3 linked regions of the Kluyveromyces lactis genome follow. The protein of the gene in region 3 purifies or fractionates together with the protein of the main gene of each other region. This does not show direct contact. Links are inferred from orthologs where the notes say so. Each region holds a gene or a part of one and is shown on either strand. Other genes may lie near its edges. The genes, in order: KGD1, PDB1 and LPD1.

Evidence for each region.
Region 1: the proteins of LPD1 (region 3) and KGD1 purify together in Saccharomyces cerevisiae (affinity purification with mass spectrometry; 5 studies listed by BioGRID, with this or other methods). This does not show direct contact. The link is inferred for Kluyveromyces lactis from reciprocal best matches to the Saccharomyces cerevisiae genes LPD1 and KGD1.
Region 2: the proteins of LPD1 (region 3) and PDB1 purify together in Saccharomyces cerevisiae (affinity purification with mass spectrometry; 4 studies listed by BioGRID, with this or other methods). This does not show direct contact. The link is inferred for Kluyveromyces lactis from reciprocal best matches to the Saccharomyces cerevisiae genes LPD1 and PDB1.

The regions. Positions count from the first base shown.
Region 1 is NC_006042.1:430,386-434,147, forward strand, and holds the start of KGD1 (alpha-ketoglutarate dehydrogenase KGD1), read right to left. Parts: upstream 2,401-3,762; coding exon 1-2,400. UniProt on the Saccharomyces cerevisiae protein: The 2-oxoglutarate dehydrogenase complex catalyzes the overall conversion of 2-oxoglutarate to succinyl-CoA and CO(2).
Region 2 is NC_006042.1:882,159-884,729, forward strand, and holds PDB1 (pyruvate dehydrogenase (acetyl-transferring) subunit E1 beta), read right to left. Parts: upstream 1,685-2,571; coding exon 620-1,684; downstream 1-619. UniProt on the Saccharomyces cerevisiae protein: The pyruvate dehydrogenase complex catalyzes the overall conversion of pyruvate to acetyl-CoA and CO(2).
Region 3 is NC_006040.1:950,682-954,120, reverse strand, and holds LPD1 (dihydrolipoyl dehydrogenase), read right to left. Parts: upstream 2,073-3,439; coding exon 591-2,072; downstream 1-590. Other genes in the region: KLLA0_D11143g (uncharacterized protein), read left to right, coding at 3,024-3,069, 3,158-3,402.

The sequences.
Region 1 (3,762 bases), on a different chromosome or scaffold from region 3:
ACCTAGTTGCAAGAATCTCTCCAATCTACCTGAAGAATGCTCTGGACCTTGACCATCGTAACCGTGAGGCAAGGACAAGACTAACCCGGATCTTTGCTTCCATTTCACTTCACCAGCGGCAATGAATTGATCGATGATGACTTGAGCAGTGTTGGCGAAATCACCGAATTGAGCTTCCCAAACAACGAAATAATCTGGGTTAGTCAAAGAGTAACCATACTCGAAACCCATACAACCGTATTCAGACAACGAAGAATTACAGATGGTGAAGTTAGCTTGTTTTTCAGACAAGTGCTTTAATGGAGTGTAAGTATTCTCGGATTTTTGGTCGTGAAGAACAGCATGTCTTTGTGAAAAGGTACCTCTTTCAACATCTTCACCAGAAACTCTGACGTGATTACCTTCCAACACTAAGGAACCGAAAGCTAATGCTTCACCGGTAGACCAGTCAATACCTTCACCGGATTCAACTGCTTTACCTCTGTTGGTTAAAATTCTCTTCAAGTTCTTATGAACTTCGAAGTTCTCTGGCCATGAGGAGATGGTCTTACCAATGTTCTTCAAAGTATCAGCATCAACGACGGTTGGTTCGTGGGATAAGATTTCAGTAGCTAAAGCCTTTGGAGACTTGAAACCTTCCCAAGCAGCAGTTAACCATTCTCTTGAAGTTGGCTTATAGTCCTTTGCCTTCTCATATGCTTCCTCGAATAGACCCCAAACCCATTTCTTATGTTCATCGATATCTTGCTTGGTGAAGGAACCTTCAGATACCAACTTTTCCGTGTAAACGTCAATGACAGATTTTTGCTTAGAAATCTTTTGGTACATTAATGGTTGTGTGAAGGAAGGTTGGTCAGTTTCATTATGACCATGCTTTCTCCATCCGACGACGTCAATAATGGCATCAGTGTGGAAAGTAGCTCTCCATTCAGCAGCCAAGTTGAAAATGAATGTAAGAGCTTCAACATCGTTGGCATTTACATGGAAGATAGGAGCATCAATGGTTTTACCCAAATCAGATGGGTATAGAGTTGATCTAGCGAATCTTGGATCAGTAGTGAAACCGATTTGGTTGTTTGTGATAACGTGAATGGTACCACCAGTAGAGTATGCTGGCAAATGTAGGAAACCCATGGTTTCGTAAACGATACCTTGAGCAGCGAAAGCAGCATCACCGTGCAATAGGACGCTGATGGCCTTGTCATACTTGCCAATATCGTTCTTAGAGAACTGGATGGCTCTAGTTCTACCCAAAACAACAGGATCAGCGGCTTCCAAATGAGATGGGTTAGCAACCAAAGACAAGTTAACGTATTTACCAGAGGTAGTTGGTCTTTGGTAATTCATACCCAAATGATATTTCACATCACCGGAACCCTCGTATTCTTCTGGAGCAACAGAACCCTTAAATTCTGAGAAGATGGATTCGTTTGGTTTACGCACCACATTAGACAAAACGTTTAATCTACCACGATGAGCCATACCCAAGACAACATCTTCAACACCTAATTCAACGGAACGGTCAATCAAGGTCTTGATACCAGGAACAACACCTTCTAAACCTTCCAAACCGAATCTCTTATCGTTAGGGAATTTAGTAGATAAGAAAGTTTCAAAAGAAGTAGCCCAAGTCAGTCTATCCAAAATTTGTCTCTTTTGGTCTACGGTATAATTATAAGGTTGTGGGATTTCAATTCTTTCTCTTAACCATTCACATTGTTCTTTTGAAGGGATATGAATGTATTCGATACCGTATCCAGAACAGTACAATTTTTCCAAAGCAGCAATAATTTCTCTTAGTTTCATGGTCTTTCTACCATCACGAGAGAAACGTGGCAAGATACCGGGTCCCAATGTGATATCTCTATCTAGATCCTTTTCTGTGAATCCATAGTGTTCCAAAGTCAACTCACGAGGTAGAGGTTTACTCTTATCATCACCAAATGAAATTTGTAACGGATCAATATGAGCCTTCTGGTGACCTCTTACTTGGTAAGCACGGCACAAAAGTTGCACTTTTAAATGTGTTGTGATGTCTTGGTCAACGCCACTTAACGAACCCCCTATCAATATATCTTGAGGCACACCAGGACCCGTTGGTATTGGAATTAATGTTGGTGGGGCGGTGAAGGCAGAAGAGGCTGGAATATTCAGATTACCCATGTTCTTGAAATAAGCATCCCAAGAGACATGAACTGAAGTGGGATCCTTTTGCCAAGCTTCGTACATCTCATCGATATATGATGCATTGGTGGTGGACAGGAAGTTGTCCGTCGAAGATGCACCACTAGCCAATCCACGACTGAAAACAGCCAAGGAAGTCGGTTTGCTTACAGCACCGATCCTGGTGAATTTAGAAGCATGTAACAAACGCTGAGATGACCTTATAGTTCTCAACATTGTTCAAAAGACAGTTATTTTTTGTTCTTTTCTGTATAACGAAAGAAGCAAAACACAAACCTTAAATCAATAGATGGTCGCTTTGTTCTGTACGTGTGTTGTAAAATTGATATATCCAGTTATCAAGTAAAAAAATCCCTTGCAATTCACAAAATGTTGAACTTTTCAACGATGATTAACTTTCAATGAATCTTTCTCGTTTATATCTTCTTTTGTTTTTATTTTTTTATGGCTCTTCTTTGTGAATTTTCAATCCAAAATTACTCACAAAAAAAGGGAACAAAAGAAGAAGTACTTGATAGTAGTAGAGTCAGAAACTAAGACGACAACAGGCAAAAACTTCGATTCAAAATTGACTGTTTTTGTTAACGTTCCTAATTAATTGAAAAAAAGAGATATCCTACTTGCGAACACGAAGTTGAAATAAAGCTTCTTCAATCTTTTTTTTCTTGTCGGAAGATCTTGAAAAAATACCCCCGATTTTTTTAATTTCCCGTTCTCTTTCACTTAAATAAGCAGTGAAATTAATGTATAAATCCTGTATCTTTTATACTTTTTAGCCGATAAAAAACAGAAATACCAACAAAAAAACTAAATTAGAGTAAGCAGAACTCAAACAGTGCCAGAGAGTCGAGTATTGCGTTTACTAGACGAGTTTAATTTAACAGGCAAATAATAAACTCCGTTATTATTTTCCTTCTGTCTCCTATCTTAATTGTATTAAGGCAGGCCTCTTGAATCTTGAAAATAATAAATACCTCTTCTATAAAAATAGTAAGAACCAGTATTTATATAGGAAATAGTAGATGCACTATATATATTCACGATTTTGTGTGAAAAAAAAGCACTCATTCAACTATTAAATGGACCACCAATATCTCTCTCGTGCCATTTCCCCGGTTTTGATCCTCACTCCCATTTTCTTTCTTTCTTCGAATCGGTACTGATACCTTTAATGCCTGTAGCTCTCTAGCAGCTTTATGTGGTTTTTGCATAAGGTTTCCTTGCTACATGGTGGAACAAACAAGTGTTTTAGTGCCGCTTACTCAGTTTTCAACAATACGAGAATGCCAGATAGTAAAAGCTGTAGGGCATGGTCTGCGAGTAGGGGTCCGGTGACCCGTTTTCGGATTCGAAGACGGGAAACTACCAGATTCATTTTGTGGGACAGCCCGGAATTCCGGGTAACGTTTCAACATTTTCTTTTCAGTATTCCATATTCAGATAAGTACTATGCAACTCCGTGCCAGACTGGCTGATGGGTTTTAAAGTGTAAGCAAAGGCTGAGTGCGGTTGACGGTATGTGGTGTACGGACATTCGTCAACCCAACTCGGTCGCGAGAAATTCTTTGCTGTCACTTG
Region 2 (2,571 bases), on a different chromosome or scaffold from region 3:
ATGAACCTCTCTCCTGGTCCAGTCTTAAACCCTCTAATGTATCCTACATCGCTAAAGCCATTTCAGCTTAGAAAGTGTAAAAGACAATACCTTGATGGAAATAACGACAAGTTGTACAGAAAGTAGCGCACAGCGTCTTGTTTTAACGGCAGAATATATATATACAGTTTAATCTCATAACAACCGCAGTTGTCCCCAAATACCTTATTGTTCCCATCTCTAGTGATGAAAACTTTTCTTCATCATTACTGATGGGCAACATACATGAAAAAAAATTGTAAAATCTCTAATTCATCAACTTACCTTTACCAGCGAATAATTCAACGACAGGCAACTCTATCTCATTCTATTTCCTAATCCAAAATCGTGTATTAACTGAACTTGGTATTCATATCTTAATAATATAATATGTTTTAATTTTTCTATTTTTCTTTGAAGTTTGTAAATCAATTCATAACTTAGTTTATTGCAACAAAGGAGTACAATCATAAGAAAAACCGAATGCGAATGAACCATCATGCACTATTCCTTATCCAATGAATATTCTCTTTTGTTTTGATAAAAAACGGAGGCCAACAGAGGTGCATAACTGTCAGTAAAGAAAGAGTGCACGGTGCAATCATTCAATAGACAAAACACTTTTAGCAGCTCTGACAATGGTGTCAGGGTCTGGGAAAGCAAAATCTTCTAATTCCTTAGCATAAGGAGTTGGGACTTCAGCACCAGTAACTCTTTGAATTGGAGCATCCAAATAATCGAAGGCTTCAGATTCCATAATTTGAGCGATAATTTCAGCACCAACACCGAAAGCTGGGAAAGTAGATTCAACAGTAATCAAGTGGTTGGTCTTCTTGACAGTGTTGATGATAGCTTCAACATCCAAAGGTCTAATGGCTCTCAAATTGATAACTTCAGCAGAAACACCGTATTGCTTAGACAAAATTTCAGCAGCTTCCAAAGAGAATTGAACATTTCTGGTGTAACTGATGATAGAGATATCAGAACCTTCTCTTTCAACCTTTGCTTTGTATGGCAAAGTGAAATCAGTAGACAGAGATTCTTCAGAGACTTCGAAAGATTGACCGTATAACAATTCGTTTTCCAAGAAAACAACTGGGTTTGGATCACGAATGGCAGCCTTCAACAAACCTCTAGCATCTTCAGCAGAGTATGGAACCAAAACCTTCATACCTGGAACAGAACCGTACCAAGCAGAATAATCTTGGGAATGTTGAGCAGCAACACCGACAGCAGAACCGTTTGGACCTCTGAAAACGATTTGACATTTCTGAGTACCACCGGACATATAGTAAGTCTTAGCAGCGGAGTTAATGACTTGATCCATAGCTTGCATGGAGAAGTTGAAAGACATGAATTCAACAATTGGCTTTAAACCCTTCAAAGCGGCACCAACAGCCAAACCAGTGAAACCCATTTCGGTAATTGGAGTGTCAACAACTCTTCTTTCACCGAAACGGTCCAATAAACCCTTGGTAACCTTGTAAGCACCATTATATTGAGCAACTTCTTCACCAATGATGAAAACATCATCATCACGGTCCATTTCTTCGGCCATGGCAGAATTCAAAGCTTCTCTGACGGTCATGGTCTTGGTAGAAGCAAATCTCATGGATTGAACCACAGAAGGAACAGCCCTCTTAAAAGTGTTAGAAAGCATCATCATGTTGTATTAGTATTTAATAATTTTGCCAGTTGAAAGTTTTTATCAATCGGGTACTAACGTTTCGTTTCACTACGTGTAATTCTTCTTAACCTTTAAAATTGTCTTCGCTTGTAAAACGTTTACTGAACCAAAGGAGAATGAATATTATACTAGAGTTTGATATCTTTTCGTTTTTCTTTTTCTTTTAAAGGTAGAAGAAATAATGTTTTGATAATTCGAAAACAAAAACGAAGCAATAAACAAACAGACAGAAGTTGTTGAGATGCGTTTGTTATAAGACAGACAAATTAGATAGTCAATTGTCAATTCTATAACTAAAAAGGATCCTTTTCAACTGAATTCTTTTTTATAATTTCTTGAATTTGATATTATTTTTTCACTGAAAAAAAATAAAAACTCGTTCTTTGACCTATTCAACAAATAGACGTTAGCCTCAGGGAACCGCTAATTGAGTGGGATTGGATGAGAATCTGTAGTAAGATTTATAAAACCTTTAAGAAATTATAAAGTAAGATTAAACAAGTATTGAATTACAGATCCATAAAGTATAAAAAATGAAACACAAAACAGAAGATAATACAATGAATAAAGGAATAACGACTCTAAAGAACTAACAACTTCCCTGGTGCTGAAATGACCCTCTTATATTTCTTTATATATTGGTGAAATCAAAATCCTTTAAAGGAATATATATGCGCTGCATAAGCTTTTTTTTATTCGTTTCGACTGTACGGGTCGAGCGATTCGCGGGTTGCTATACCGTTGTATTTATCTCATAGATATGCTAGCGCATAGTAAGTGCGCCATCACAAATCTGCTGAAAAAACCTGTTTTGGCGACGGGAGAATACGACATAGCAGATGAGATTGATGGAGGCGATGAGGTGT
Region 3 (3,439 bases):
ATCTTTCTTGCTTCTGAATAAGATTTGAATGGTCAAAATGCGTTATAAGTTAGTATTGTGAAACGTAATGATATAAATAGAAAATCATGTTTACACGGAGTGGTGATGGTTCACTCAAAACTCTTGTTAATAAGAAATTAGGGCGTGTGGCGTAGTTGGTAGCGCGCTCCCTTAGCATGGGAGAGGTCTTCGGTTCGACTCCGGACTCGTCCAATCTTTTTATTTCCCCTGTTCATTCTGGACCAATGATCTCTTTTTTTGATATAACGATGTGGTGCCTATTACACACAAGCTGAGAATGTTCTGAGAATTCGTTTACAAACATTTCATATCATTTACGTTAAATATATTATACGTGTTTACTATTTATTTTTGATAATCTTTACTTTTCAATGTATAGTTTGAAATCAAAGAATGATTCGAGGAATATATAAGAAGAAAGATGCTTCAGATGGCGAGATAAATAAAAAAAAAAATAGACGACAACTGGATACGACGTACCATTGTTAAGTAGCTTATTATAGTTATTGATATCAAGCAGCTTCAATTATCCGCAATTTTTTTTTTCCACTTCGCTTTATCAAGAAAAATTAGAAGTTGATTGGCTTGGCGTAAGCAGCTAAGTTAGCTTCCTTGAAAGCTTCGGATAGAGTTGGATGAGCGTGACAAACTCTAGCGATGTCTTCAGCAGAAGCACCGTATTCCAATGCTAAACCGGCTTCAGCGATCATTTCACCAGCGTTAGGACCAATGATGTGAGCACCTAGTAAACGTTCAGATTCTGCGTCGATCAAAATCTTAACGAAACCTTCGGTGTCCATGTTGGTTTTAGCTCTAGAGTTAGCGATGAATGGGAACTTTCCAATCTTGTATTGAATACCAGCTTCCTTTAATTGTTCTTCGGTCTTACCGACCCAAGCGACTTCTGGGTGGGAGTACATGACAGCCGGGATGTTACCGTAGTTGACATGACCGTGGCCGACCTTGAAGTATTCGGCAGCAGCGATACCTTCTTCTTCAGCCTTGTGAGCCAACATTGGACCGAAGGTAACATCACCGATAACCTTGACGTGTGGGAATTTGGTGGATAATTGTTCATCAATGACCAATCTACCACGCTTGTCGACTTCCAAACCGATCTTTTCAGCGTTCAAACCAGCGACGTATGGTCTTCTGCCGACAGCGACCAACAAGACATCAGCTTGGAGAGATTCCTTCTTACCATTCTTGGCACCTTCGACTTCGATGTCAACGACGTCACCGTTTCTGGAGGCAGACAAGACCTTGGTGCTCAACTTAAAGTCGAGACCTTGTTTCTTCAAAATCTTTTGAGTAGTTTGAGCGACTTCACCATCCATGGTAGCACCAATTTGAGGTTGGAATTCGATCACAGTGACCTTAGAACCCAATCTGGAGTAAACTGAACCCATTTCTAAACCGATGATACCACCACCGATGATAGCCAATTTCTTTGGGATTTCTTTCAAGGAAAGAGCACCAGTAGAAGAAACGATTCTTTCCTCATCAATGGTGATACCTGGGAATGGAGTCACTTCAGAACCAGTGGCAACAATAATCCTGTCACTTTCCAAGAGGTGATCTTCAGTAACGGAACCTTCCAGACCTTCCACAGGAAGAACCTTAACGGATTTGTCAGTTTCAAAGGCACCTAAACCTTTGTAGTAAGTGACACCATTCTTCTTGAACAACATTTCAATACCACCAGTCAATTGCTTGACGACAGTGTCCTTAGCCTTTTGAAATTGAGCAACGTTAATGTTGATTTCACCGTTGATATCAATACCTCTTTGCTTAGCATCCGTCTTCATTTGATGGTATAGGTGAGAATTGTTCAACAAAGCCTTGGATGGGATACAACCAACGTTTAAACAAGTACCACCTAGTCTACCTCTTTTCTCAACACAAGCAACATCGTAACCGAGTTGAGCAGCCTTGATAGCAGCAACGTAACCACCTGGACCACCACCAATAACGACCAAGTCGTGCTTCTTAGTAACGGTTTTCAAAAGAGCAGAAGAGCTAAAGGAACGGGTAGAATTGAATCTCAACATCTTTGATTAGGGCGGATATAAATAAACAAGATAAATAAGATAATCCTCTAACCTCTTACTTATACGTTATCTGAACCCTTTCTCTGTGGTTTCACTTGATATATTTCTTGAAATATAAAATATCCTAGTGAATTCCTTTTATATTAATGTCAATTGGAATGGAAAAAAAAGATTACGATCCCAAATAAATACAACTATTAGACGGTTTGATCAATTAAATAGCAAGAAAATTGATCTACAGGACTCAAATACCAGCATGATGCGGTAGGGTTTGGTGATTCACTACGGTACGGACCATATATAAACTACAATTATATAATTGAACGGATTGTAATTCGAAAAAATACTGTAGTATTCCAGAGAAGACCACTTATTTAACTGATCTATATTTCATCGTTCCTTTGCGCAACTTTTAAGTTGAAGAACCAGTTTTTTTTTTATCAATCTATTGAGCTTTCCAAACTGCCAGAGTCATTACTATTAATTATCGAAATGGGATAACACAGTGAACAGAAGTATCTTTGTGAAAAGCTGTTTCGCTGGTGTGATCTATAAAGGCGACGGCTCATCACAAAAAAGTTGCAACTGTCTTGACGTGGGGAACAGGGAAACCTTCGGAATCGACAAAAATTGAAACTATTGAATGAAATCAGTTGAAAAATAACGAAACGAACCTAAAAAAACGGAAGCCGTACGGGGGCCGACACGAAAGGCGCAGGGCGGGCTATCAAGAACGTGATTAACACGTGATTCAAACCGGGTAACGTTTATTAATTTATGATCACGTTGTTTTTTTTTGATTACCAGTTTTTCCTTCTGCCAAATACTCACTATGAGATATGATATCCATATAAAAGAATAATGAATCATGATATATGAAGGATAAGGGAGATTGTTAGCAAGAACAAAGAATAGAGTAGCAACAGTAATAACAAAGCATTAGCCGCAGATATGAGATTTGCACCTATTTTTATTGGAACGGCGTTGGCCAGTTCGTGTATGTTTAAGGACGGATTTTCTTAACCCTTTTTTTTCCCTTTAATTCTCAACTTTACTAACATCATCATCGTCATCGTCAAATACAGTATCTTCACTTATGGTTATATATCCTGACAGCTTCCAATACTACAATGATTTAGTGAATGTGGCACATGAACTTGATGGGACTATAACGCATGAATATACATTATTCAATGGGTTTAGTTTGGATTTGCCAGAAGAGTTTGTCGCTAAATTCAAGGAAATGAACCAACATTTTAATTGGGGGCTTGAAATAGAAGAAGACCAGGAGGTTCATGCGTTAGGTGGGCTGAAAGAACATGCTGTTTGATTGCATTATGGACTGAATCAACGTTGTGTCGGTCTTT